2 linked regions of the Callithrix jacchus genome follow. The protein of the gene in region 2 purifies or fractionates together with the protein of the main gene of each other region. This does not show direct contact. Links are inferred from orthologs where the notes say so. Each region holds a gene or a part of one and is shown on either strand. Other genes may lie near its edges.

Evidence for each region. The genes of interacting proteins can lie anywhere in the genome.
Region 1: the proteins of JADE1 (region 2) and MEAF6 purify together in Homo sapiens (affinity purification with mass spectrometry; 5 studies listed by BioGRID and IntAct, counting the BioPlex papers as one, with this or other methods). This does not show direct contact. The link is inferred for Callithrix jacchus from reciprocal best matches to the Homo sapiens genes JADE1 and MEAF6.

Annotation. Positions count from the first base shown.
Region 1 is NC_133508.1:74,066,815-74,070,560, forward strand, and holds the start of MEAF6 (chromatin modification-related protein MEAF6), read right to left. Parts: upstream 2,256-3,746; 5' UTR 2,248-2,255; coding exon 2,158-2,247; intron 1,036-2,157; coding exon 920-1,035; intron 1-919.
Region 2 is NC_133504.1:68,419,265-68,422,910, reverse strand, and holds part of JADE1 (protein Jade-1), read left to right. Parts: coding exon 1-131; intron 132-1,991; coding exon 1,992-2,108; intron 2,109-3,646.

The DNA.
Region 1 (3,746 bases), on a different chromosome or scaffold from region 2:
TAGGAGCTTCGGGAACCGCGGCTTGGGTGCAGACATGGCCAAGTCCAAGAACCACACCACACACAACCAGTCCCGAAAATGGCACAGAAATGGTATCAAGAAACCCTGATCACAAAGATACGAGTCTCTTAAGGGGGTGGACCCCAAGTTCCTGAGGAACATGCGCTTTGCCAAGAAGCACAACAAGAAGGGCCTAAAGAAGATGCAGGCCAACAATGCCAAGGCCATGAGTGCACGAGCTGAGGCCATCAAGGCCCTCGTAAAGCCCAAGGAGGTTAAGCCCAAGATCCCAAAGGGTGTCAGCCGCAAGCTCGATCGACTTGCCTACATTGCCCACCCCAAGCTTGGGAAGCGTGCTCGGGCACGCATTGCCAAGGGGCTCAGGCTCTGCCGGCCAAAGGTCAAGGTCAAGGCCAAGGCCAAGGATCAAACCAAGGTCCAGGCTTCAGCTCCAGTTTCAGTTCCAGCTCAGGCTCTCAAAGGTGCCCAGGCCCCTACAAAGGCTTCAGAATAGATATCTTTGTCTGCCAATGCGAGGACAGAAGGACTGGTGTAACTCCCCTGGGGCTGCCATCTGCATGGGGCTGGGGTCCTCCTGTGCTATTTGTACAAATAAACCTGAGGCAGGATTAAAAAAAAAAAAAAAAAAAAATGTAATAGAGTGCTGCTGTGTAAGATACAGTCATATGCTTTATTTCATTTAAGCCTGACACAACCACCCTGTGCCATAGGCCCACTTTTCCTATTTTACACATGTGAGCTTTGTCTAAGATTATTCAGTGAGGCAGGACCCAGAGTCCAAGAGTTCAAGTCCAGACCACACCACCACTTAGTAGCAAAGTTGCTACTAAGAGCATGCAGTCCTGCAAACCAACGTTACTAAAGCACAATAGGAACACTACAGGCTTCCGACACTCACTTTTGATTGGTCAGATACCGATCCCAGCCACGAATAATATTGCCATACATCTGAGTGTCTTCCAAGTAGCTTCCCTCAAAAGCATAGATCTGTCGCTCCAAGTTTGCCAGTGTTTCCTGAGAGATGAAAAACAGGGACATGAATAATGTCTTGTAAATGCAAACACTTAAGTCTCAACCCAAATGAAATCCTGATATTAGATTTGTAAACGCAAGCTTGCCCATGCTACCCTTGTGGAGAGATTGATGATACGGTGACGGGCAGGACATTTAGGACTCTAAGCCAGTCTAGACCTTTAGGGATGACGGACCCCTGAATGTATAAAACATGTCCCCAGAAAAACACACACACACGCGAAATGTTGCATATACTTCGGAGGGTTCACAGAAATCCGGAGTCAAGAACCCAGGCTAAGGCAGAACTTGGGCGATGTCCACTCCCACGCACAAAAGGTATCGCTACCAGGGGAGGGGAGGGTGAGCAGCCTTTCAGCGTCAACCCCCTCCCCTGCTCCCCTCTCACAGGCTCAGAGAGGCCGCCGGCACTGGACTGCCAGTTGCTATGGAAACCTGGAAGGGCAGCTTCAGGTGAGAGGGGCCTCCCGGGTGCTCAAGCTGAGACTCGAGGGCAGGAAGAGATTAGCCACCAGGGTGCATGGGATCCTGGGTGCCTGTCACCATTGCGAATTCTCCAGAATATGTTCTTTTTTCCCTAGCCTGTCACCTTCTAGATGCTCCCAAACACATCACATCCCTATCAATCAAAAACCTCCATTCAACGGATCTACTCCTAGAACCAAAAAGAACACGCTCCCCACCATCCTCTAAAGTCCAGACAGGGTGACTGGAACCCCCTCCCCGACCTGCCCCACCCCACACCCCGCAAAGATCACGGACTCGCCCGCTTCGCCCACCACCGCGGCTCACGGACGCTCGCCCTTCCTAACGCCCGAGCCCCGAGCCCCGGCACCATCCTCCTCCACGCCCCCTCCTGCGGCTGCCGGTGCCCCTCCCCCTCCCGCGCTCCGGGCTCCCGGCTCCCTTCCCGCTCCGGATTTGCACAGCCCGGAAGCCGAACTGCCGGCCGCGGAATGCGCAAACCGCCTTAGGCCGCCGAGCTCCCGGCCCGCCGCGGCGCGCCCCCTGAGTAACGAACGGCCTTGCGCGACCAGGCTTGGGGCCTGGAGGCAGGGCAGGAGCGGGGCCCCATACCGGGCAACCCCGGTCCCAACCCCTCACCGCCAGCTCCTGCTTCCGCTTCACGAGCTCCGCCAGCTCCCGCCGGGTGTCGGGGATCTGCGGCGGCGCCGCCTTGTTGTGCATCGCCATGTTGTGCTGAGGCGGGCGGCGGCAGCGGCGCGAGGCTGGGGGCGGTCCCTGCGCCACCAGGGGGCGCCCCCTCGCACTGCGCCTGCGCGCGCGGCTTCCGGAAACCCGCGCGGCGGCGCGCTCCCGCGGGGACTCTCGAACATCCTGCCCCGAGAGTTCCACAGACTTGGCCCTCTGGTCTCGACCCTTTGCGCCGTTTCTTGCCCCTCGGCTGGCCGCCGGCTTTACAGAAACCGCACATCTACCGTGTCCAAAGCCGAGCTCGTCCTCAGGCCTTGAAGTCCCCTGTGCGCCCCACCTCATTCCACCTTGTGAATGACTTGCACTATCCGCCGAATTGTCCGCGTCAGAAACCTGGTTATCCTCACTGTCCACCCGGAGTTAAACGTGATCCCAGCTCAACCCCTATGTTCTCGGTTCTGAAAGAGCTCGCAAGTCCATTTGCTTGTGCCTACCCCTTCTGCCACCTCCCTAGGTCATTCAGGCCCTCCCTGTTTGGGGTTACACTATTCCAACAGTTTCTTTTTTTCCACCCTTAGCTCCATTGAATCCAGTACCCGCAGTGGTGCCGGGATCTTCCAAAAACAAATGTTATCACTCCCCAGTTTAAAGTCTTTCAGTGCCTTCCCATTTTCCCATTGCCCTTTGGAGAGACAAGTATGTGTAGTGGTTAAGGGCACAAAACTAGAGCAAGAACTACCTACCTCTACATCGATAAAGTGTGCCCTTTTGGGCAAGTAACCAAATCTCAACTCCCTCATCTGTAGAATGAAAGCAGTAGGCGGGGCGCGGCGGCTCACACCTGTAATCCCATCACCTGAGGTCAGGAGTTCTAAACCAGCCTTGCCAACATGTTGAAACCCCGTCTCTACTAAAAAATACAAAAAATTAGCCGGGCGTGGTGGCGCATGCCTGGAATCCCAGCTACTCGGGAGACTGGGGCAGGAGAATTGGTTGAATCTGGGAAGTGGAGGTTGCAGTGAGCTGAGATCGCACCATCACACGCCAGCCTGGGCAACAAGACTGAAACTCCCATCGAAAGAGAGAAAGAAAGAAAGAAAAGAGAGACGTAATAGAATATACCTAATACAGTTGCTGTGAGGAGTAAATCACCTAATCTGTGTAAGAGGTTTGGCAGGTACCAAACTGCAAGTACAAGTTTGCTTTTATTGTTAAATCCAAGGTGTAAATCGTTTCACTTGACCCTCAACTTCTCCCACCTCAGCGCTCCATCTTTCACTGTTCTGCGATTTCACTATCATAAGTCTAAGTGGGATATTTTTTCTTCTTTTGTTTTGTGTCTTGCTTGGAAGTCTTTAGATTTCTATGATCTGTAGGTTGGTATCTTCCACCCGTTTTGGGAAATTGCAGTCATTTTTCTTCAGACGCCTGTCTCATTTTCTCTCTCCTTCTGGAATTCGAACATAAGAAGCCTTTATTTTTAACCTACCGTCTGTATTTTCCAACCTTTTGTCTCTCTGTGCTACATTCTGAGTAAC
Region 2 (3,646 bases):
GGCTGTGCCGGACATGTGCCCTGGGGGTTCGGCCAAGATGTCTGCTGTGTCCCAAGAAGGGTGGAGCTATGAAGCCCACTCGTAGTGGAACCAAGTGGGTCCATGTCAGCTGTGCCCTGTGGATCCCTGAGGTAAGTGTGGTTCTTTTTTGTTGTTTTTACTTTTCTTGAGACAGGGTCTTACTCTGTCACCCAGGCTGGAGTGCAGTGAGTTGGATCATGGCTCACTGCAGCCTTGACCTCCTGGGCTCAAGTTATCCTCCCACCTCAGCCTTTTGAGTAGCTGGGATTATAGGCCTGTGTTACCAGGCCTTGCTTATTTTTTGTTTTTTTGTAGTGAAGACATCTCACTTTGTTGTTTTGGCTGATCCCAAACTCTTGGGCTCAAGCAGTCCTTTTTCCTTAGCTTCCCAAAATGTTGGGATTACAGGCATAAGCCACTGTGCCTGGCCAGGCATGGTCCTTCTTTTTTTGAGGTGGAGTCTCTCTCTGTCGCCCATGCTGGAGTGCGGTGGCGCGATCTTGGCTCATGGCAACCTCTGCCTCTTGGGTTTAAGCAATTCTCCTGCCTCAGTTTCCCAAGTAGTTGGGAATACAGGTGCATGCCACCACGCCCAGCAAATTTTTTTTCATATTTTTAGTAGTGACAGGGTTTCACCGTGTTAGCCAGGATGGTCTCAATGTCCTGACCTCGTGATCTGCCCTCCTTGGCCTCCCAGAGTGCTAGGATTACAGGCATGAGCCACCACGCCCAGCCATGCATGGCTCTTAATAGCACCTTAGCTCAGAAGGTCCTGACTTTTAACTGGGATTCGGTGAGTGGGTGGAGAACCATGCATAAATAGGCAGCATTGTAGCTGATGAGTAAAAAGACACCTTTTAATTGCTACCTTATTCCTTTGGGAAAAACTGAATCTTAAGCACACTGTCATCTTGTCATGGAATGTAAATTTGTGGAAATGTTAGCGGGAAGCAGCAGTCAGTTGGGACTGTAAGTTGGTGATGGTCAAACTTTGCCTCGCCCATCTATCTCAGCGAGCCTTCCCATCACAACACCCACTCCCTGGAGCAGACCTGCAGCACTTAACCAGCTGTGGCCTGGGTGTGTCATTCCCCAAGATCAGCTGTCCATCCTGTGTGTGGTGTGACGTACCATGAGGTACCACTGTGGTTAAAAAAACGACCACTCTTGGTCATGCTTTGGTGATTTTTATTTATACCTTTATTGTGCCTCATCCTTTTTTAATATCAGGTCTGGTCTAATTTATTTCTAGTCTTAGATCTTGACTAATAAAGTTTGCATAGCTCAGTGTGAAAATATAATTTGTGATTCAAAATCCAGTATTTTTTTTGATGTGATTTTGGTACGTTTTCCTTCCAGGGAAAATTATTTGAGGATGATTTGGATTAAGGTTTCATGATTGAGGTCTTGGTAGCACCAGGTCTTGTGGTTTGGTATTGATGGGATACAATTCGGTGATCCAGGCTGAATGCAGAGATGATGATACCTTATTTATCTTTGTAATTTCCCATCTTGAATGTAGTCATTTTTTGGACTGAAGAAAATGGTTTTCTTTGGCGAGAGATTAAAAACAGGTTATATTTACTTACCCTGTTGTTGATAGCCTATTTGAATATGTTTAAGATGGATTTTTAGTTTTGACCAACTTGTTATGGGCTAGAGATTACATGAATCTTTGTCATCAGGCACTTTGGTGAGAAGTGAAAACTCAGTTATCTCAGTGTTTTTTTTTTTTTTTTTTTTTACAAACAGGGATGTCTGTCAGATAGCGACTAGGCTCTGGGCTTGATTGTCACTGAGGTGTTCTAAGGCTTTTAAAGTAAGGGTTTGCTTTGTTCTAGGTGAGTGAGTATCCCTCGCCACTGTCTGGTAGGAGGGATGTAGGAAAGTAATGGATCTTTTAGTTTCTAACATTCATGTTCGCCTCTGATGACCTGTGCCACCCTTTCTTGTTATTTTCCGACCTTTAGGTGAGCATTGGTAGCCCAGAGAAGATGGAGCCCATCACCAAAGTGTCGCACATTCCCAGCAGTCGGTGGGCGCTAGTGTGCAGCCTCTGCAATGAGAAGTTTGGGGCCTCTATTCAGGTAATTAGCTTCATAAGAATGGCTTCATTTTCCTTTCCTGCATGGTAGGGAGCAGGATGAGGGAAGGCTATGTGACCTCTCCAAGGGTTTGGAAAGGGGACTAGTTCCAGGAAGCAGAATGAGGTTCCTAAGGGTTGACTTGAGCCCCAGTACGCACGCACACCTTTAATTGGCTGACTGTATCTGGTGTAACCAGAACCCAAGCTTTCACAGTCACAGGGTAATTGAGAAGTTCCCTTGAGCTGGGAGGTGGTTCTAGTTTGTTTCTCGCTCCCCACTTTCTGCCCAAAGCATCACAGCTTCTTTCCACAGGCAGACACCTCCTAGGAGTCTTAGTGAGATGTTCCTTGACATGGCATTTTAGAGTTGGCCACCCTCCCACCTGCAGTCACCAAGAATAGCTGCAGATGGTGGCCCATCTCTGTGGCTGCCTCCTGAGACTGCAGGTTTCCACAGTGTGCACACACCTGTTAGTAATCAAGGGGACATGTTGATGCATTTGCATTTGGAAAAACAAGAGACTCTTTGAACACCTGGGTAGAGGGGCATCCATGAGGTGCTCCTGTGTATGCTGGCATCTGATTGGATCATAATCTGGATATCTGATTCTTCATGGCACTGCATGCATGAGTGTGTGTATGAAAGAGCACTTGCACACCTCTGTGTAAACGTGTTGCCTGTCTGCGTTTGCATGTCCACGTACAGACAAGTGTGGGATGTCATGAGATAGGGAAATTAAGGAGGCAATATAGATGGCATACTGTTGTTCATGTGGCCTAAAACTCGACCTGAGAAGTTCATTTCTAGGCCTCATGTTATTGATTGACATCAAGACAGTCAGGATTAGAGAGGCCTGCAGTGCTGTGTGTGGCTGATGGGGGGACCTTCAGGTTAAGTTTGGATCTTTTGGGATATATCAGCACAGGCCCCAGGCTCTTCTTTGGTTTCCTCATTGAATTCTGGGAGTAGAGGCACTGGAATGGCTTCTCTCTGAATGCAGAAAAAACAGCAGCTCAGTACAGACATAAGCTCCAAGAGCATAGTCATACTGTGTCAGCCATTTGTTTTAAAGAAATGACCTCATTTGGCAAAGTCAGTTTGTATTTTGGCTGATAAATACTTCTTTCAGTAAGGCGGTCTTAAAATTTTTTCATTTTTTAACAAGCCCAGTGGTTCTATTTTCTTTATCGCTTCGACTGGTGTTCAAGAATCCAAAGTATAAGAGAAAAATATTTGGAGGGTGGGTCATGAGACAGCTGGTGGGATTTGGCTGGGTACCTTGGAAATAGTGGAGATATTTTTGGCATTTTGAATACATGATAAACACCTCTGCCCAAGAGTTGGATTGGGGAAGGAGAGTGGAGCTGGAAGAGAAAAGGGGGAGAGCCGATATACTTGTGTGTGTGTGAGTATGCATGTGATTATGCATGTGTATGTGTGAGTCTGCATGTATGTACATGTATTTGTGTGGTTATGCATGTGAGTATGCATGTATGCATATTTAATGATGTATGTGTGAGTATGCATGTATGTATTAT